Linked DNA regions of Drosophila melanogaster. The protein of the gene in region 1 purifies or fractionates together with the protein of each later gene. This does not show direct contact. Each region holds a gene or a part of one and is shown in the gene's direction. Other genes may lie near its edges. The genes, in order: slmb, Cul1, ex and nerfin-1.

Evidence for each region.
Region 2: the proteins of slmb (region 1) and Cul1 purify together in Drosophila melanogaster (affinity purification with western blotting; 4 studies listed by BioGRID, with this or other methods). This does not show direct contact.
Region 3: the proteins of slmb (region 1) and ex purify together in Drosophila melanogaster (affinity purification with western blotting; 4 studies listed by BioGRID, with this or other methods). This does not show direct contact.
Region 4: the proteins of slmb (region 1) and nerfin-1 purify together in Drosophila melanogaster (affinity purification with western blotting; 2 studies listed by BioGRID, with this or other methods). This does not show direct contact.

Annotation. Positions count from the first base shown.
Region 1 is NT_033777.3:21,124,451-21,129,449, reverse strand, and holds the start of slmb (supernumerary limbs), read left to right. Parts: upstream 1-1,964; 5' UTR 1,965-2,455; coding exon 2,456-2,512; intron 2,513-4,065; coding exon 4,066-4,288; intron 4,289-4,999. Other genes in the region: Obp93a (Odorant-binding protein 93a), read left to right, coding at 1-22, 90-246, 301-500; CG5793 (uncharacterized protein), read right to left, coding at 557-898, 957-1,103, 1,233-1,329, 1,396-1,472.
Region 2 is NT_033778.4:7,915,341-7,922,083, forward strand, and holds Cul1 (cullin 1), read left to right. Parts: upstream 1-1,613; 5' UTR 1,614-1,768; intron 1,769-1,837; exon of another isoform or gene 1,838-1,994; intron 1,995-2,391; 5' UTR 2,392-2,623; coding exon 2,624-3,499; intron 3,500-3,560; coding exon 3,561-4,607; intron 4,608-4,663; coding exon 4,664-5,065; 3' UTR 5,066-5,633; coding exon of another isoform or gene 5,634-5,711; 3' UTR 5,712-5,774; coding exon of another isoform or gene 5,775-6,132; 3' UTR 6,133-6,239; downstream 6,240-6,743. Other genes in the region: CG12159 (uncharacterized protein), read right to left, coding at 25-181, 561-1,012; Or43b (odorant receptor 43b), read right to left, coding at 5,634-5,711, 5,775-6,132, 6,428-6,743. UniProt on the Drosophila melanogaster protein: Core component of multiple SCF (SKP1-CUL1-F-box protein) E3 ubiquitin-protein ligase complexes which mediate the ubiquitination of proteins involved in cell cycle progression, signal transduction and transcription.
Region 3 is NT_033779.5:429,211-434,243, forward strand, and holds the start of ex (expanded), read left to right. Parts: upstream 1-2,016; 5' UTR 2,017-2,907; intron 2,908-5,033. UniProt on the Drosophila melanogaster protein: Activates the Hippo/SWH (Sav/Wts/Hpo) signaling pathway, a signaling pathway that plays a pivotal role in organ size control and tumor suppression by restricting proliferation and promoting apoptosis.
Region 4 is NT_037436.4:907,437-912,820, forward strand, and holds nerfin-1 (nervous fingers 1), read left to right. Parts: upstream 1-1,675; 5' UTR 1,676-1,861; coding exon 1,862-3,271; 3' UTR 3,272-4,883; downstream 4,884-5,384.

The DNA of each region.
Region 1 (4,999 bases):
GGATAAAGTGGCTTTGCATGCAGTAAGTATCGCTCTAAAATATATCATTTTAAAACTGGCTTTACTCTTGGGAAACGTGTAATCCTCAGTGTATTGCGGAGTGCTCCTTCAGGACCAATGGATTCTTGTTGAGCAATGGCACTGTTAATACCCAGGCATTGCAGAAGAGCTATCAGCAACGCTACAAAAACGATCCGAATATGTCGCAACTGATGTTGAAGAGCCTCAATAGTTGCACGGACTACGGTGAGTTAGCATACGAAAGTTTTTTTCTACTTAATAATGGTTAATTCTAAATAGCTAGGAAGCGGGTGCAGGAGTTCCAATGGATGCCCAAGAAGGGCGACTGCGACTTCTATCCTGCCACCTTGCTGGCCTGCGTCATGGAAAAGGTCTACATCAACTGCCCGACCAGCAAATGGAAAAACACCAGCGATTGCACAGCGATGTGGAAATATTTGGTTGCCTGTGATGATGTGGCCAGTAATAAGAAGAAATAGCCATTGCACATATCCAATTATATCCGAATATAGCATCAAAATTAAATTCTTCACTTTTATTCAGCCTCCACTTGGAAGGTCAATTTAGCGAGATCGGCCATTCCACACTGAATTACATCGCCTGCCTTGAACGCATCGGCACCATTGGGCGTTCCGGTAAGGATCAGATCGTTGGCCTCCAGGGTCATGTACTTGGACACGTAGGAAATGATGTCGGGCACCTTGAATATTAAGTCTGCAGTGCACCCGTTTTGCTTAAGGTCTCCATTGACGGTGAGCCAAAGCGGCAAGTTGTGCGGGTCCGTCACTTTTTCGATGGGTATAAACTGGGACACGGGCGTAGAAGTATCAAATCCCTTGCCCAAGGTCCACGGATGACCGGCCGCCCGAGCTGGTCCCTGAAATTGATTATTGATTACAACAATGGCTCTTGATTGAGTGCATCCATCTTCTTACCAAATTGCACTGGGCAGTTAGATCCAAAGCCAGGCAGTATCCTGCCACATAGCTCATGGCATCTGCCTTGGATACGTTCTTGCAGGGCTTTCCAATCACCACGCCTAGTTCCACTTCATATGCCACCTTGGTAAAGACTTTTGGTAACTGGGGGAATACAAAGTTTAAATCACAAGAGGGATTTTCAATTTCCATTCGTTTACTCTCCAGTTTATGGACTTTTGCTATCTTGCTACTATCTTAATGTTATCTTAATTAATTCTCTGTAGAACTCACCACAATGGGCTGACCCTCCTGGAGGTACGAAGATGTGGGCTTGAGGAAGACGAGCGGCTCCTTGGGCACGGGAACGTTCCTGGCCAGCACAACGTCCCTGCGACGGAAGAAAGTATTCGTGGATTACCCATGCAGACCCAAGATTACTATGACACTGAGTTACATGTAATTGAGAGCCACCCCCACAATTTTCTTGCCATTGCTCAAGAAGTTGGCGGCATTTTGGTTTTGGCACGCCATCCTGAGGATTTGAGTTAGTTGCACTGTGAATTTGAAAAAAAATGTGTATTGTAGCTCGATTATGAATGCTCAAGGAAATGATTAGAATGGGAACAGCTCTGCGGTCGAATGAAAGTGAGCATTCGGCGAGCTGGACGGCACTTACTTGCGCAATATTTATTAATTTAAAAGTGGGGGGTTATCTGGAGAGTGGCCCCCCGCAACAAGTTTATCAATTAAATAACAACAGAAAACGGAGAGAGCGATCGAGAAATCAGCTGATATGGATGTGCAGAGTTGTCAGAGCTGGCAAAGTGTGTTGGGTAGCCATACAATGCTTACAATTCATAGCTCTGAAAGGGAAATAACTTAAAAACATTTCATAAATAGTTGTAATTGCAACAACCTGTTCGAAAATTTAGAGCAGAAACGACGAAATTGTGTGCTCTTGCCGTATTTTGCAGCACTGGCCCGTGGCAGTGTGACCGTTCATATATGTGACAGATATCGATAACGATAGTGCACACTCATCTTTGGCTTTGTGGTTTCGCAGTCCGTATTTGGGCGAGATCTGGTAAAAAAAAATAAAATTCTCCGTGTGAAAAGTGAGTGTCCAGTAGTTGGCGTCATCTGAATAAGCAAAAACAAACAACGTGCAAGCCGCCAGGAGCGGTGAGAATAATGACTTGCATACGACATTCGCTCAATTGGTGAGGGACCTCGGCAAGTTGAGTTTGCCTTTGCCATCGCGTTCGCCTCGCCGTTTTCGCGCATCCCGCCTGCGGTCCTACAGAAACCGAGACGAGCAAATTGTAATTTTCCTTCGACCTAAAAATTATATGAAATCGCTGGCGAAAAGCGATTTGCGAGACGTGTTAACGAAAAATCAGCGAAAAACGCTACGTGGTGCGTGAGTGCGAGTGCGACGGAAAACTCTGGCAGTGAGCGAGTGAGAGAGAAGCAAACGACGAGCCAGTAAACTCTACAAACACACAAACAACACAATGATGAAAATGGAGACTGACAAAATAATGGACGAAACCAACTCCAATGCACAGGCCGTGAGTTTTCGCTAAGTTACCTGCTTTAAGCGGGATCTCTGCCCTTCTAAATGCATTAAACACACCGATTTAAGTACATATTGCCCAAGGTGTCGCCTCAATAGACCCACACACATACACACACACAGGGGCACGCACACCTACGCCACCTATGCGTGTTGTCACACACTGGTGTGCGTGTGCTAGTGCTTTATTTTCGTATATACTACAGATTTTGCACTCGTGCACTCTATTAAATTCGGACACTGTGGCACATAGCCATCCCATGGGCTATAACCTTAAACTCTTGTGGATATTAGACATTAGCCTACTTATTCATCGCCAGCATCATCATCATCATCCCCTTTGTTCAATTATCGTTGCATATATATGTATATATCCCCAATCTCCGGTTTTCGAGTCTTAAGATTTCGTTAATTGGCCTCGAGTTTGTGTACACAATTAATAACAAACGCTGTGCACAAAGTACGGCCGTGTACATTTCAATCAGTACTTATTTAATTGTGGAGCTATATACGATAGGCGGCTTACTGAAGGTCAGTTCGCGTAAAACCATCGAGTAATGGGCCAAAAAAATCGTTTTTTATTTTCAATTTTTTCGCTCGGTTTCGCTTGAGTCATCTGGGCTTTAATTTCGCCGGATTCAAGGTGGAATCTGGTTAATGAGACAGATGGCTTCTTGGTAATAGCAGCGAAACACAAACGAGATATTATTAACTATCAATTAGAGGATATATACATTCATATTGCTTATTGCCACAAACCTTTCTCATAGCATAATCAGTGCATAGTTTAAGTAGCATCCTTCAGCTCAAAGTTACCAGGCAAAGGCAAACAACTAAAGCTTACAAAAACCATAATACGGCAATTAAATTAAGGCAACCGACCCGAATACAACTTAGTATGTTTGTACATACATATTCACAACATTTACTACAAATACTGGCAAGGTTTTCGCATTGCTGGCATTGCAGTTAACTTAATTACTCAAATCACTCACACTCGAATCGACCAATTTGTTTACTTCACGCCGATAAAATTGTTTGCCGAGATCTTTAGCGTTTAATTGATGACGTTTGATTTAATTGGGGCCCATCAATGGGTATGTCTATATATAGAATGCGCATAATGAGCATGGAAGACCAAATAAACATCGATACAATTATTATTTATAAACTGGCCGTGTGAATGATCTGTTTCTACCGCTGCGCTGCCAGTCGCGTTTTTCATTCTTCAGAAATCCGCTTTGCAAACTCTTTCGCCGCCGAATAAAAAAAAAATGAGAAAAATTACGAATAGAAAGAAACGCTCAGCGTAGTCGAAGCTAATTGCCTAATTTTAAGCCCCCAGTTTGGGTCGTCGGTAGCCTAAACTAAAGAAAAGTTGCACAACCAGCAGCTACCTACTTTTCCAGTTTTAACGATCGCCCCTTGACATCGAAGCACCCCATAACACATCATCGTCGCCCCACAACAACAACAACAACAACAAAAACGAAACAAATGCAATCTCATAATTAATTTGCTTCTTTATGCCACTTTTCACCCATACAGTTCACAACCACTATGCTGTACGACCCGGTGCGCAAGAAAGACTCATCGCCCACCTACCAAACGGAGCGGGAACTCTGCTTTCAGTACTTCACCCAGTGGAGCGAGTCGGGCCAGGTGGACTTTGTGGAGCACCTGCTGTCGCGCATGTGCCACTATCAACACGGACAGATCAATGCCTATCTCAAGCCGATGCTCCAGCGGGACTTTATCACATTGCTGCCAAGTGAGTGCCTGCCGATACACTGGCTATTGCCACCTGAGTCCAGTCGAAGTGGAGAAATAACTTCCGTTCATACAGATTGATATATTACGTTCACAACAAAGTATTAGGCCAAGACTGTAAACTGTAACATGTTAGCCAACGACTATGAAAATATGAACGTTAAAAATGCAGTTTTAGCTGTGGATTCAATAGTGGTTATTCTACAAGTGAGGAAATGATGAAGTGGTATATCATATATTAATCTGCATTTTTGAAGCTGTTAGATCTATTCCTAAATATTATAAATATTGAACGGATAAATTAGTCATGCTAAGTCATTCCAAGAACGTGATTTATAACCCAGTTGTTATCAACAGCATGCTTTGTATGGGAAGGTCAGTAATCCCAGTTGACCAATAGAGAAACCAATTCACGCAGCCGATAAGAAGGCAATAACAGCTGTTAGGGTGCGAATTCCACCATCGGAGTTTGACCGTTTTCCTCCTAAAATGAAGGCTCAGAAATGGCTCATCCACCATTAGAATCTCAGGCGAGTCTAGCAGCACAAAGCTGAGTTTAAGCCCTCGACACACGCAATTGGCGAAACAATAACAAACTGCAGGTACAAAGTTGAACAACATGAAAGGCAAGCCGCGCTCTGAACCCGGTGCGATTCGTTCCGCGTCCCCCGACAGACACCCTTGCTCCTCCGGATTGTTGCCGGGCATGTTT
Region 2 (6,743 bases), on another chromosome or scaffold:
TGGCGTGTGCATGTGTCTGCTATTTCATAATATGCGTATGTTCTGGCGATTGACCTCGAACAGGGTGTGGTCCTCTTCGTCACTATTCACGTCCTCGATGGCCATGGGCAGTGGTGTCAGCTCCTGGTTGGCGCGGTCGCCCTGCACGCCGTACTTGCGCTCCGCCCGGGAAAGTCGGAGCCTGCAATGATTTGCGATTCGATTAGTCTTATCACCAAAAATTGCTAGTATAATAACTTAATAATGTAGGTATGTATGTATAAAGTAAAATTCAGTATATATAGGTAGTCTGTTTTGCATATAGTCCACCGATAAGAATATTTAAAGCTACATATTTAAACATTACGCTTAGTTTTAAATTAGTATTCTAACAATATTTACTGGAAATTTTAATTTCAAGGCACGATAAAGGATCGCTGTAAACTTTTGAAATCCTTAAAAATCTATTCTTTGCTGTTTTACCTTTGCATTACAAAATAATAAGGAAGACTTTGAAATAACCTTTCATGCTTTTCTGGACTCTAGTCTAGAGCTCTAGGATATGTCCTTCATTAACTCACCTATAAACCCTCATAATAAGCAGCAGTATTGCAGTACTGGTGATTCCCACGAGGATGTAGACAACAGCCTGGCCCGGAAAGTCCACATCGGGGGACATGGGAGAGCGTTCAACATGAACATCATCCACGGGAAGACCTCCCGGAGGCTGCACCATTTCCGGTGCCTTGGCATCTCCTGGTGAAACTTGTGTGGCAACCGAAGCACCTGGAGCAACCGGAGCAGGTCCGCCATCGTCTACGACCACCATAGAATCCTTTGGTCCTGCCGGAGGATTCTCTGCTTGCGATTTCTTCACGACTGGCTTTTTGGCCTCCACCTCAGCAGCCGGCGCACTCTGCTCCGCAATTACCACCGTCTTTTGGGGCGTCTGGGTGGCTGCGTCACAGGATTGCTGGTGGAAGAACAGCAGCAGCAGTGCTGCAGCCACTAAGCAGAAGCAGCGACAGGACATCTTTTCGTATCCAACTATCAAAATTACTAAATATAGCCGCTTCTAAGCATAAACAATGACCTTTTAAATTTCTTTGCTGCACTGTTTTTGTTTTGCTTGGCGTCAGAGTTGCCGCACATGTCAAAGCAAACGAATCGAAATTGAAGTAAATGCGTATGCCTTCTATACACGGTCACATTGGTTTGAGTCCTGGAGGAGTTGTGTTTCGTACGGGCATTAGGGTGAACCTGTATAAGACTATATAAGCATACCCTAATTATTTGAAAAGGGTTTTATTATGCAAGTGCTAAGACCAATCGTTTTATATAAAGTATAGATTGTTCTCAAGTTCCAGGAAGTGTGCCCAGGAAAATGACATCTATAAGAAGGTTTCTGTAACCGCTAACGGATTTGTAAAATCTAAGATACGAACCGCGTTGCCGATATTTTACATCACGCTTTGAAGAGCCTAACAGCGATATTTGATATTATAAACTATAATATAACTGCTTTCCGTGTAAAGAATTCCCTGAAAAATGAGATCGCCACCAATAGTGGCGCCCAATAAATAGATCGCCAACGATAGCTGGTCTTAAGCGATACCACCGTCGAGGGCCTTGCAGCGCAATGGCCGAACGGTCACACATTTTAATAGTTAGGAATAAACGAAAGTTAGCAATTTTCACAGAAAAAAAAAATTAATTTAATTATAAGCAAAGCAGTGAAACACAATTTTAATTTAGTTTTAGTTTTAATTTTAGCAGCGTCTGGCAACAGGTAATATAAAGCAAAATGAGGGAAATGCAAAGAGACGGGATTTCGTGCTTTGAAAATGGCGAACAAAAGAGAAAAAGTGTGTGTGCTCCAAGGGGAAATCAAATCCATCACGACGTCACGAAAAGAAAACTCAGTCGCACGGCTCAATTTACCAGGAAAATAAATTTCGTTTGGAGGGAGCTATGTGAAAAATCGAAAAAAATGTTAACAATTTAGTTGTGAAATGGTTATGTCCGCTATCTTTTCTCTTGGCTTTATGTGCCTTTGTGTGGGTGCGGGTGTGTGTGTGAAGGCGAGGGCGACTGCATATGTGTGCATGCGAGTGTTTATTTAACCAGGAAGTTGGGTTTTCGAACACGATCTAACGATAGCGGGGGCGGTGGTGGGGCTTCACCTGCCATGCGATTGGCCAATACCCTACATTGCAGGGCATGTCCGACCACCGCGCATTGCATTACAGCTTGTGCGTGCATGTGTGTGTGTGTGTGTATTCCGCAAGCCTCTCTTTTATTGCTGTGACATTGGATCATAATAGGCGACCTTCGGGTCGTCGCTTTTAACGTGGCGAGGCCTACTACATTCCCAATCCCATTCCGTTTTTGTACCGATTCTCTCATCTGCAGATTGACACTTTAAATTCCAAAATTGGAACACCGATTCGCCAAGATTCCGGCCACAACTCCAAGGACGAGAGCCGCGAAACGACGCCACCTGGAAAGCAGCAGCAATCCCCTGTCGCCCGCGCAGCATTCGCCACCTAGGGTCATTGCCTTCTCCAGCCCAGCGCCACTGCAGGGACAGCATCCTCCAGTGGAAGAAGGCAGAAGGCCGTTGCCACAACCCACCGCCGCCAGAATGAACCGCTCCGGCAATTCCCAGACCACACAGAAACTCGTCAACCTGGACGATATCTGGAGCGAATTGGTCGAGGGCATTATGCAGGTGTTTGAGCACGAGAAGTCCCTCACCCGCAGCCAGTACATGCGTTTCTACACTCACGTCTATGACTACTGCACCAGCGTGAGCGCGGCTCCAAGCGGACGGAGCAGCGGAAAGACAGGCGGAGCGCAGCTGGTGGGCAAGAAGCTGTACGACCGGCTGGAACAATTTCTCAAGTCATACCTGAGCGAGCTGCTCACCAAGTTCAAGGCCATCAGCGGCGAGGAGGTACTCCTGTCGCGCTACACCAAACAGTGGAAGTCGTATCAGTTCTCCAGTACCGTTCTGGACGGCATCTGCAACTACCTGAATCGGAACTGGGTGAAGCGCGAGTGCGAGGAGGGGCAGAAGGGTATCTACAAGATCTACCGACTGGCCCTCGTCGCCTGGAAGGGACATTTGTTCCAAGTGCTAAATGAGCCGGTCACCAAGGCAGTGCTCAAGTCCATTGAGGAGGAGCGTCAAGGCAAGCTCATTAACCGGTCGCTGGTCCGCGACGTTATCGAGTGCTACGTGGAGCTCAGCTTTAACGAGGAGGATACCGATGCCGAGCAGCAGAAGTTATCCGTCTACAAGCAAAACTTTGAAAACAAGTTCATCGCAGACACATCAGCCTTCTACGAGAAGGAGTCGGACGCCTTTCTGTCCACCAACACGGTCACCGAGTATCTGAAGCACGTCGAAAACAGGCTGGAGGAGGAGACGCAGCGCGTCCGCGGCTTTAATTCAAAGAACGGTCTTTCCTATCTGCACGAGACCACAGCGGATGTGCTGAAGTCCACATGCGAAGAGGTGGGATTGCCTACCGTGTCCAACTTTAAAGCCGCCTACTAACCGAATCAATGTCTTTCAGGTTCTTATCGAAAAACATCTGAAAATCTTTCACACCGAGTTTCAGAATCTGCTCAACGCAGACCGAAACGATGATCTGAAACGGATGTACTCCTTGGTCGCCCTCTCGTCCAAAAACCTGACAGATCTCAAGTCCATCCTTGAGAACCATATACTCCACCAGGGCACGGAGGCCATTGCCAAGTGTTGCACTACCGACGCGGCCAACGATCCCAAGACGTACGTACAGACCATCCTGGACGTGCACAAGAAGTACAACGCCCTCGTTCTGACGGCGTTCAACAATGACAACGGATTTGTGGCCGCTTTGGACAAGGCGTGTGGAAAGTTCATAAACTCGAACGTGGTCACGATCGCAAACAGTGCTAGCAAGTCGCCCGAATTGCTGGCCAAGTACTGCGATCTGTTATTAAAAAAATCCTCGAAAAATCCCGAGGACAAGGAGCTCGAGGACAATCTTAACCAGGTGATGGTCGTGTTCAAGTATATCGAGGATAAGGACGTCTTCCAAAAATATTACTCCAAGATGCTTGCTAAGCGCTTGGTTAACCACACATCGGCTTCGGATGACGCCGAGGCTATGATGATCTCCAAACTGAAGCAGACATGTGGTTACGAATACACCGTCAAGCTTCAGAGGATGTTCCAGGACATTGGCGTCTCAAAGGACTTGAACTCGTACTTTAAGCAGTACCTGGCCGAAAAGAACTTGACCATGGAAATAGACTTTGGCATCGAAGTCCTGTCCTCAGGCTCTTGGCCTTTCCAGCTGAGCAACAACTTCCTGCTACCATCTGAGCTGGAGCGGTCAGTGCGACAGTTCAATGAGTTCTACGCCGCCCGCCACTCTGGCCGCAAGCTCAACTGGTTGTATCAGATGTGCAAGGGCGAACTGATAATGAACGTCAACCGCAATAATTCCTCCACCTACACCCTGCAGGCCAGCACCTTCCAAATGTCAGTGCTGCTCCAGTTTAACGATCAGCTCAGTTTTACAGTCCAGCAACTGCAGGACAACACACAGACGCAGCAGGAGAACTTGATTCAGGTGAGAGTAGTGTCAATAGATAGAATTAATAGAGACTTATGTAAGAATTTCTTCAGGTATTGCAAATACTGCTCAAGGCGAAGGTGCTGACCTCCAGCGACAATGAGAACTCGCTGACGCCAGAGTCGACGGTGGAGCTGTTCCTCGATTACAAAAACAAGAAGCGCCGAATTAACATCAACCAGCCTTTGAAGACTGAACTTAAAGTGGAGCAGGAGACTGTACATAAGCACATAGAGGAGGACCGAAAATTACTGATCCAGGCGGCGATCGTCCGCATCATGAAGATGCGCAAACGACTCAACCACACCAATCTCATATCGGAGGTGCTTAATCAGCTGTCAACGCGCTTTAAGCCTAAGGTGCCCGTGATCAAGAAGTGCATAGACATCCTGATCGAGAAGGAGTATCTAGAGCGAATGGAGGGACACAAAGACACATATAGTTATCTCGCCTAAGTTTTTGTTAAATGAACAACTTTCGCTGTTTCATCTATGCCAGCCATTAAAAATATCATCAATAAACTTAGATTCGTGTCGACCCTCCGCTACCCTTCCTCCTAGCCCGAAATAAACTGCCGCCGAAACATTCGAACTAGAAGCGAGCTAAAAATACTCCATGCTTCGCATAAAATGTGCAATTCTCGCCAACGCGTCACTAACTCCATCTTCCGACACCCAGCACCTCATTCAAAGAAAAGGCCAGTCGCAGGGATCAAGTGAACCTATTGACCAGATCACAGCCGATGAATCCGGCCTCTGTAGGAACATATTCCAATTGCCGAGGACAAGGTTCCAGGTTCCCAGCCTACAAATAGACTTCTGCAGGGGCTGTACGGTATACATATGTAGCGATTTTCTTTACTTCCCATTGTTCGATCAATATTTGTTTTAACTAGATTATGTTTATTCATAATTCGCTGTATGCATATACAATTATTATAATTCTACGAAGCAAAAAAGTGTTAAGTTCATAAAACTATGTACGTTTACCTCTGGTGCGGTCAATTGTATTGAGTATTCCTTTCTATTCCTTAATGCTTAACTTTTGGTCCAGGTTCATACCGCTCGCGATGGCGTACACGGTGAAGGCGAACTTGGCTACCTGCAAGGATTGAAGTTCGGACTTTGCTTCCTTCCCCGTTCTAACCGAGAGCAGTGGACTTACATTGATGTTAGTGGCCAAATTAATGTTAAATATGTTCATGGCGGTGAAGGTCATGGGCTGCTGCAGTTTCTGCAGGAACTGGATGACAGTCCGCTGGTATCGCTTGTCCTGCACCCACCAGGCGGAATGGAAAAGTGCGTGGGCCAGTTCTTTGCAGTCGTCCACGATGGCGTTGCAGTAGAAGCAAAGCGGAAAAGTCTGCAGAAGGACGGCCATAACGTAGATGACTATGCCGAATCGGGTCGATTGATCAGCGAACAATACCATGTTGATCATAATTATGCCCAGGATCGATCCGCATATGATGAATTGGGCAAATATCGTGCCAGAGATGATTGGTTGAATGGCATCACAAAAACTGCATGGGAAACAGTGGGATGGGTTTTTAACATTGAAAATTTAAATTAATGCATATATTTTAAAAAATGTAAGCTAATTTATTTGAAATAAAATAGTTTTATGTCGAATCGTTTGATATACCATTTATTTTATCCTGAATGTAAAAATATACTCTTATATATTCAGAAATATCAATAGCGAGTTCTTATAAAAGTTGTACTTTTATTCAGTTTTCCGAATAAATTCAGATCCGTTGAGTGAAAACATAATTCACGGTTGTTGATATTTCCGGTAGGATAATGAAACTGACTTACTTTAGCATGGTTCTGTGTGCCTTGATACAATCCACCAACGATTTAAACATGTAGCTCGGGTCGCTGCTACCCTCGTTGCTGGGATCGCCCAAGTAAATGATACGGTCCTTGAGCAAGAGAATATGAGTTCGCAGGGCTGCCACGTAAATCACAGGGTAGGAATCGGTGGCGGTGGCCACATATATGGCATAACCCACGGTGAAGTACTCCAGAAAACTCTGGATGTACATCTGGGTCCGATCGACTCGCCAGTTTATGAACGGATAGTACGTATTGTAGGGAACACGGTGGTGCAGTAGTCCGTCCAGTAGCGTGG
Region 3 (5,033 bases), on another chromosome or scaffold:
GCAACACACACCACATCCACATCAGTGGGTTGGTACCCGCGTCATATGCCAACTTATTCAATAAATTCCTGGCCTCCTCGCCATATCATCATCGCCAGCGACTTTGGCTCTGCCCAAGACCGCAAAGAGCACGAGGAATTTTGAATAGAAAGAGGATCAATGGCAGCTGCTCTTGGCTGAAAGATCACTTTGCCAAAAAAAAAGGCCAGAAATGCGCGCCAATTCCGCAAAAGCGATTCTCTGGACCGGGAGACTGGAGACTGAAATCGACTTCAAGGAATTGCATAAAACATTTTTGGCCGTTCTTTTTTTATTTTTTCACTCTCCTCGCTCAAAACTTCGGCCTCGACCAGGCTCCAAACCTCGCACACACACAAGCACAGATATAGAACGTATGTATATCTACACGATATTGACCAAGAACGTAGTTCCCAAAAGGCTGCTTACAGCAACAACAACAACCGGTCTTAGAGAACCAGCGACCAAGCGATCGACCAAAGACGAAAGAATAACGAACAGCCACAAAACAAAAAAAAAAAACAAGAATGAAAAGCTTGGGCTTCAAGTCGAAGATGGAAGTACTCTAGATCTCTTGTAGTCAGACTGATCCGGTGGGTAACAAACTACCTTTACTCAAATTCCCTTACACCATAGGCTTGTCAATAGAGAAATTTTCAAAATTTGTCCCAGGAGTGGCATGTACTTTTTTTGAAACCTACAAACCTTTTTTAATTCTTCCCGTTGTATCCCAAACAGGGTATAGCAGACACCACAACGCAAAGTACACTCAAAGAAATCAAAGGCTGTGCGAGTTGTTCCCATCGAAACCCCGCCTCACCGGAATGTCTCGCCCAATTTCTACCCCTGCCCCACCACTTCCCTGACTTCAGTCAACAAGTTATGTCCATGGCAAGACGACCCGACCCCGACCCCTTGACTCTCCAATTCTGAGTCTTCGACTTTTGGCCGGGTCTTCAGGGGCGTAGCGAGGGTTTGGCACCGGGGCACAACTTCGATCATCATTATATAGTCTTTTGGTTGTGTTTAGTTACGATTTTTATATCATTTAGACTTTTTTCCATATAATCTAAATTTTGTTTTCTGTGGATTTTTCTAAGTAGCCCCTTGGACGAACTGGTTAAAACCTTACTTGGCTTACACTGATCCCCGCCCTTTCGTGGGGCGTGTGTATGCCGCATATTTGAAGCAAATGATGGTTGAAGAGGTGGAGGAGGGGAAATGAAAAGGAGGAAATCTAAAGAAGAGAAAAAGAGGGAAGAGGGAGCAAAAAGAATCCAGCAAATCAAGCTCACATTATGCTGAGGAATGCGCCCAAGTGACGATATCGTAGCAGCAGAGGACGCCGATAGAGGCAGAGTCTTCAGACCCTCAAGTTCCGATTCCGATTCTCCCTCGTCCAGTGCATCTGTATCTGGAGTTTTGCCCAGAGAGTTTATTTATAAGATAGTCGCATCGATGGCTAGCGCAGGGATACTGAAAGCTAGATTTGAATCCAATAGGCTTCCGCCATAGTTTGGCAAAAAGTGAATGCCAAAAGATAGAACTCATAATGTAATTGTAATATACAATGTAAACTACAAGATAGCATGTGATAAAAAGCAGAATTAGAAAGAAAGGTACCTTTGTTAAAATTCTCATATGCATTTTACTTAAATCTGCTATCCTAACAGGGTATCCTTTAAGCCCTTGAGAATCGGAATCGTCGTCTCGCGAGATAAGCCATTGGAATTCCACTACTCACACGGACGCACACACTATGTAGTTGGCTACTGGGATTCTCCTTTGAAGTTTGTTTTTCTTTTATTGCTTATTGCTATTTACATTTTCGTAGCCGTTGTTGTTGTTGCCATCGGGTTTGTGTATCGCTGTGTGCGCTTCTTTCGAATTCGAATTCTCTCTTGGGCTCTCTTTTCGTTAAACGCGGCTTCGTTAAGTTTTAACGAAATCTCGACTCGATCTTCGTTGTGTTCGGTTTCGCTGAGCAGGGGCAAAATCAGTATATCGCTAAACGTCAACGGTAACCGAACAGATCGTCGGGACAGCAAAGCATGTGCTTTCCACTGGGAAATATAAATTCGGTTTAATGAATTTATTCGAGACCTAACATTCGGAAAAGTTGTTCTTCAGATCTTAAATGCACACCGCACGCACACCAGATCGCCCAGACACACACAGAGCTACACAGATTCAGTTGCTTAAAGTGAAGTTCGGTTTTCACTGAAACAAAAACAGCGCGCTTCGTTTTCGCACTCGCCTCAATTACAAAAGTGATTTTTGTTGGTGTTGGTGCAACTAGTTCTGATTTTGGGAAAACGCGCCTTAAAACCACGAAAATATCTACGACTAGTAGTGTAAAAAAGCTGAAGTCAACTCCGAAAAGTTGGTGCTGGTCAAAAAGAAAAAATTCAGCCGCAACAACAACTGCCCACTGGAAACTACAACTACAACAAATAAAGCAGTCAGCAACAGCAAAAACAACAACCCAGCAAACGGCATTCTTTCGCGCAACAACAACGACTCCACGCACACAGATACTCTCAGTTGCGCTCGCCCGCGTGTGCAATTGTTCTGGTGTTAGTGAGTTTTGATTAAAGTATGTGCGACGCTGGAATGCGACCCGATCGCTGTTGACTGCGCAGTCGCAGCGCGCGTCGTGGAAGTGGAAGAGGTCAGAAAGTAACAACAACGAAACGAAAATTTTACTGTTAGGCACTTATCGATAGCCAAATCAATAGATCGGTTTTAAGAGTGCACGAAGAGTGAGCTTTAGTTAAACAAAACTACCAAACCAAAATTAAAAAGCCAGTTATTGTGGATTACGCGAAACCGAAACAGAAGCAGATACAGATACAGCATTAACAATGCCGACTTCTGCAGCGGCTTAAGGTAAGAAAAGGACAGATACACGTGCAGATATAGAGTGGTGTACCCATATGGGGCCATTTCCCCGGAATTTTAATGACTCCCTGAAAACGGCAAACAAAACAAATGCCAGCAAATTTCTTATCTGTCAACCATAAAATCGCCAACGTCCAACGATTGTTTAACATTTCGTTGTTGTCGCCAGCTTTTTTCTTTAAATTTTTTTTTTTGCGTCCCGCTAAGAGTCAAAAATTCAGCGAATTGTGCAATTAACCCATTTCGGGCCATGGAATATCAAATGTCAGTCAAACTTGACACTCTACGGAGGGTATATTGAAATGGGGAAGCTGTTTAGAGTACTATTGTGTCAAATATATATGTACATTCACATGTGCATACATATGTAGTTATATAGTAGGCCTGACCGACTTTTTAAATACCGGTCACATTTAATTAATTTTTTTTGACATTTTCTATGCGGCCCTAAAGTATCTTTGCACAGGGTTTCACTTATCTCGGGATCCAATTTCCAAGTGAGCTAGTCAATTTGATAGGTTCTATGGCTAATAGGCGACTTAAACGGTTGTCAGAACGATCGACGGCGATGCAATTAAGTGAAAATGGAAGCTCCACAGAGTTCTATTGTTATTCCCGGGTTTGGAATTTCAACCGTCCATCGGGATCCCTGGAACAATTGCTGAAATCAGAAACCGCTTGGCAATCAGACATCTTGAATGTAAATCAGCGAAAGATAAACAAACGGGTGAAAACACACGCTTTGGGTATCAGTCGATAAGCTTTAAGCGGTTAAACGCTAATCGTTAAACGATTTTGCCACCAGGCAATCATATACATATGGGTAACTGTATCTGCGGACAGACGTATCTATATCTCGGCAAGTACACATGTATTCCCCGGATCGTAGTTTTAGTTCGCTTGTGGTTTTTTCGATTGAGCACTGACGTCTACATCTCCATCTCCGTGCGTATCTCTTGATCTCCACATCACACTTGACCTCAGGCAATGGGCTTTTGCATTGAAGCTGACAACAGCAACAGCAATGATCATACAAACTCAAAATATTAATTTCGTAAACTGAAATTCCTGCACGCAGTTGATATGCGTGTGCGAACATTGAAAACTCTGGTTGCTCATTGCCTCGAACAATTCAGGCAATTAAAATGTACAACAAATTAAACAAATTTCGAATGACAATCGGAGTCGAGGCTGGCTCAGAGATATAGAGGATACACTAATGAACGACCTTCGAGGATTAAAAAAATGTACTTATCTCTATGCTCGTAAAAAAATATTGTTTCAACAACATATTGCCAGATAGGCAAAAACTTAAAAGCCTCTTTACTTAGAATTGGTCAAAGAATTATTCTAGCCATAATCAAAATACCTTAAACTTTAGAATTATTGGTTACTCGTATTATAGCGCATTCATTTAACCCAAGATACCCTGTATGGACTGCTAATTTTTCTACGGTATTATGGCAGCATAGTTTCGCACGCCTCCGATTTGGCATGCGGCACACGTTGCGGCTTCTTTTTTGTTTTTGTATCTTGCTGTTTGCTGCTCTCATTGTGGAGGCCATCGCCTCCGCCACCGTTACCACCTTCGTTCGCCCAGTTGGGCATTTCGCGTCTGCGGGGTGTGGTGCGCAGTGGAGGAGAGTGGTGCGATGTGGTGCGATTTTGTGGTGCCTAGCCAACTGAAGCCGAGCGACGACGTGTGGGCTGCTTTCTTTTGGCCCACTCCGCCCTGGCTGCTCCTCACAGCTATCCAGCCAACCGAGCAAGCGACCATTTTCATTATTATCATCGGCGGTCGGCGGGGACATTTCACGCATTTCAAAGACATCAAATTGTTTGGCCATAACTGGCACAACAAGTGGAATTCCGCAGCTCGGAATTCGGCATTTGCCGCTTTGCTGTTTTATTTCTCAGTCGCTTGTTCCCTGATTTCTGTTTTCTCCTATTCGATATTCGCAGTTTGGCAAAGAGACGACGAGTTATTTGGCGATTTGATGGCACACTAAGCCCGGCATACAGAAAACTGCTTTCATAATTACTTGCGATGATTTCAATTCAAAACAATATATATTATCCACATAATGCTTTAAAGGTGTCTGGAGTTCGCGAAT
Region 4 (5,384 bases), on another chromosome or scaffold:
GCGGCATTTGTGACTGACAGGAATAAGTTGGCAAGGCATCACCGAGTCCTCCGGAGGGGAGGACTTTCGCCACCCGGCACGGGGATGGATTTTGAATCAGTGTATCTGCGATGCCTTTCAGGACCTTCGGATGGCAGCCATCGCGGCCGAAGGACGACAGGACCTTCAGGACAATGCTCGCGTGGCTGGCGCACTTCTGAGACTTTTGTCGCCGATTCACTCGATCCGAAGTTTGGCCCAGGATTTGGCCTCGGATGCGTGCGCTATTTTAATTCTAAGCTGCATGGCAAACATCGATTCCCCTGGCAAAAGGCCACCCTGCTGCGACAGGATCGCCTTGGGAATACTCTCTGCACTTTCAACCATGCACTGCGAGAAAATCAATATTAGTAGCGCATTCAATTCATTGTACAATGTGTATTATAGCATTCTGGCGGAGTTAATACATTCAATTGAATATAAAGCTGAAATCTTAGATCAACTATGCAATTTGGGGGTATTTTCTTTTAGTGCTCACATTGTCAGCCCGTTTTGGGGTGGCAATCGTTGCCATGCACGTGCCTACCGTAATACAAGAACAACAACAATGGCGGCGTGTTCAACATAATATGCCATATTTTCCAAGAGCGAGAGTCCTGCGAATCCTGCGACGAAAGCCCTCGACGGGAATCGAAAGTGCATTCCTTTCATGGCAACCACTGTCGACTCAGTCAGCTCAGTCGGCTTCGCATTTCGATTACATTAATGCAAAGCACTCACACGAACGATACACGTCCAGGATACTCGCACACAGATACAGCTACCGTTACAGCGACAAGGATACGAGGATAGAAGCGATTGTGCGCCATGCTCCGCGGTGGTGAAGTTCGAAGTTCGAATCCAAGTTGTGTCTGCTAGTCTGTTAGTCTGTTACCTACCCCACCAAAAGCGAACTTGACGAGCTTAGTCGTCTGAGGCTGATAAATGCAGTGCCGCAAAGTACACATCGCGAAATTTGTGTATGAGATGTATGAAAAATGTAAAAATAGATAGCAATCCGAACTATGCCCTATGTTGATGTACTTTCCAGCCGTTATTACTTGTTACATTGTTTACTTTTATAACCATCTTGGCCAACAGCTGTTTAGCACCAAATGCCAACAAAGAAACAATTCACCTTTTGGCCCAAGGATATTCCCGATCTATTGATGAACCTTATGGTTACATGCTCAATTAACGACTCCATGGGTGTCAGCTGTTTTTTTTGGCAAAAATAAGGACAATGTGCTGCTCAGATTTCCGCTGAATACACAAACATACATTCATATTTGCCTAGGAAGGTGCTGCGATTTTGGTGCGTGGCAATTTCGGGTACCGAAACAACAGCTGTCGCACATTGATTTCTCCGAGTGCATTGTCCTGGCCGCAAAACGGGAGACTGTGTGGTGTGTGTGTGTGCGTAGGACTTTCACTCCGTGTGTATGTGTGTGTGTGGAAAAAAGGGTGACTAATGTGTGTGTGATTGCTAACAAAAGATTCCGGCTTTTGCGGCTCTGCCGGCGTCGAAAAAGGACAACGACTTCGGCCGAAAAGGGGGTTGAAATGTATTTCCAGGACGCCGGCACAAACAATGATTTCGAGTTTCGGTTTCGCTTTCCTTTGGCCTGTGGTACACATAAATAGCCGCCACCGAGTCCACCGAACGTCATTCGCAGCACAAACGTCGAGCCGACTGGAGGTCTTCTGCATAGAGTCCCAGTCCGCGAGGATCAGCGTTATCAGTTTGTTGTTAAGTTTGCTTAGTTCCCGTTCTACGTTCCCCGTTCTACTCCGTTTTCGTTTTGCCTCGTTGAAGTTTTAAGTTGAAAGTCCCATCGATGCCATGGCCCAGATACAGACACCGATACCGATTCCAGCCCCCGCGGAGCCCATTGAAAAGCTCAGCCACCCGCACAGCATTGGCATCCAGTTGCAGCACAAGGGGATGCCCCATGGCCTGGGCCTGCTGACCACAGTGGCCTCGCTGCCCCCCAAGTACCGCAGTCGATATCTGAACCTGAAAACCAGGTGCGAAATACCGCTGGATCTAACGCTGAAGCTTCCCTCACCACTGCCCAGCAGCGATGTGCCCATGGCGGCCACATTCGCGGAGGTCTATAGCGAAAATACGAGTGCTAGTTCCAGCGAGGTGCAGGGGGAGGTGACCAAGGTGGAGGAGCTGCCGGTGAAGCCCCCAACACCACCGCAGAGTCCAGCAGGGAAGCGTAAATTGAGCCGGGAGAGCTATGACGACGAGCCGGCTAAAATGGCCAAAAAGGAGGAGGAGGTTCCGGTGGAAACAGTAGAATCCACACCAGCGAAACCCGTCAAAGTGGCAGAATCTGCGCCTAAAACCAACAAGGCCTCCACTTCCTCGGGAAAGCCCTCCCGCAATAAAGCCACCCGCAAGCTGAAGTTCGATGAGGAGACCAGTTCCCCCGTCTCGGGCACCGTCATCCGACCGCTCGAGGACATCACCGATGGATCGATGCAGTACAGCAACGGCGACATTGACCCCAAGTACAACATAGTCGAGATCACGGAGGAGACCAAGGCGGAACTGGCCGCCATCAAGAACGTGATCGGGGACTATGTCTGCCGACTGTGCAAGATCAAGTTCGAGGACGCCTTCGGCCTGGCCCGGCACAGGTGCGCCTGCATCGTCCTGCTGGAGTACCGGTGTCCCGAGTGCGGCAAGCAGTTCAATTGTCCTGCTAACTTGGCCTCCCATCGCCGGTGGCACAAGCCGAGGAAGGAGGCGTCTAAAAAGGAGAATCGCAATACCACCAACCAGCCGGAGAAACAGCAGCAGGTGGAGAAAAAGTCGGAGGAGGAACTGGCCTTCGATTGCCAGGAGTGCGGCAAGAAGTTTAAGAGAGCCGCCTACCTGAGGAAGCACCAGCTGACCCATCAGAAAAAGGAAAAGCCAGCGGAAAAACAGTTGGAAATGAAGCCCACCACCACAACTATCACAGGCAGTTTTCACTTTAACCAGGCGGTGTCCACCTCCTCCTCCGCCAGCAGTTCGCACTCCGATGAGGGAGTCTACGTGGTGGGATCGAATGCCAGGGAGAACTACGACTATGACAACGACTACCTCTCGGACTCCAGCTCCTCCGCCTCATCTGCGGGATACGGACGGCTTCAGATTGTGGAACATGGTCTCACGGAGGAGGAAAGCATTGCTGCCGCAGCTCTGACCAACTTGAGGAACTGCGCCTCCGTCATCCAACACACAACCATGGCCCACTGAAATCGAGTGAGATTTATTTTTAATGTTAAGTTTAGTTTCTAGTTGAACACCAAACCCGATGCAGCTGAAACAGACCAAAGAAATAGTTATATTCCACGGAAATTTCGTTTTCCACTTCGTATTCTTAGTTAGCTATAAAATTTAGTTCTTAACCGATTCAGTTTCGTTCGCAAAATGAGTTCAATTCTAGTTAGACTCTAGTTTGTATCCGTACTTCGGCCCACATTCCACACGGCAATTTAGTTGTAACTTAATTTCTAGTCAGTGAATCCAAAGAATCTTGGCACTAGTCAGCTTCAATACGATCTCGAAAAGAGTGTCTCTTGTGTACCACGAAGGCATTTCTATTAGTCTCTAGATTTAGCTAGTTTAGGAACTTTTGGGAGTGCAATGAACCTACAACGAAAGCCAAAGCAACCAACCAAAGATTTATAACTAATACTAGTCAGTCATATATCCATCTACTCCTTTGCTCCTACATCATCCCATGACATCATTCATCACCCATATCATCCTTCATTCTTCTTACTACTAATCATCCCATAGCTTTTCACACTTTCATACCAATTTCCTCATGACTCACTCTCATCCTGTATCATCTTTGCATTTTTTGCTAATCATTTTCCAGTTAATATTCTACCCTTAATTCAACCCTTTAACAACTTTTTCAATCTGGAAATTTCTCGTCATTCTAGTCACAAGTTCTTGCATTCCTTCTAGTCACTTAGGATAAATCATCTCTATAAGTCAGCTTCAGTTCGATCTTACTAAGTTTGTACAAACATATATCGTTCTTCAATTTCGGATACAGCTTTAGTCATATTCAGGTTATATACCGAAACCAAAATTCAGGCAAAATTGTGCAGTAATAGTGTTTAAGTTCGAATCAAACCAAAAAGCAAACCAAATCCTAGTTTAAAGCAAATTCAAGCCCAGTGTTTGTGAACCAAAGTCGAGTGTGAGCTCTAGTCATTTTAGCCACCTAATCAAGCGGAATCAGCTTGTTCTCAGTTTAGTTTAGTTAGTTAAGTTAGGCATAGAAACGGACATTGGACCAGCGTCTCACTACCAGTCAAAGTATTGAACAGTACAACCTAGCTATAAGGGCCACAGGCTTCAGAACCGGCGGTTGTGTACTTAAAGCAATAAAATAAGTAATCCCCGATATCGGGACAATATCACAGCGCTATTGTTCCTTAGCATCAGTATGTGTAAATTGGTTGTAACCGCAGAGTACAACGAAAAGGGAAACTTTCGCTCAATCTAGGAATTAACTAACTCTAAGCTATATCATACATGTAACCATATCGGTTGAGATTTTGTGATACTACAGTCTAAGCTTCAAGTTTACAAGAGAATCGTTGCGCTCGATTGTGCATTAACAATAAGCTAAGAGGAGACAGATCATTGAACCAAGTATTTTTATACGTAATATACACCATATATTTTTATACAAAAACAAACTCTTGAAGACCTTTTTTAATTATATGATGTCTAAGATGTAATCGACATATATTTATCGGAAACCAATATATTTTTATACAAAACCCAATCTTGGAAAACCCATAAAAATTGTAAATTATAAAAGCTCTTGAATAAAAACGCAAAACTGAAAATGAAAACTTCTTGTTGGGTTCTCTTTGGGTTGTCAGGGAAAACAAACCCCCAAATGATTGCTTTATAATTGCGGCGAGGTGGTCATATATCATCTATACGGGGGTTGTAAGACTGGTAACCAATAATGATGAGTGCTCTTGGGTGATTCCTTATAATCATGCCCAAATAACGGCGAACTGCAGTAATGAAATGCCATTAAGGGCCATTGACATGGTCCATCGATCTGGGACCGACTAAAACAAATACCAAAACACACTAACTGCCAAGGCGGAAAAGCGGAAGTGGACCATTGAATCGGACAGATGCATTTGGGCACTGGGCTAAGGACGAGGAAACTTGATGACGATGGGGTGGAATCCCAGGGTGTTTTCAACTCAGTCTCTGGTCGGTCCATAGTGAAACTCTAAACGGGCCAAACTAATGATGCTCTCAACGGAAACGCGTAAAAAATGTTTAATCAAATACAAATGCATGACAGCACGGAAAAAAGGCGAAC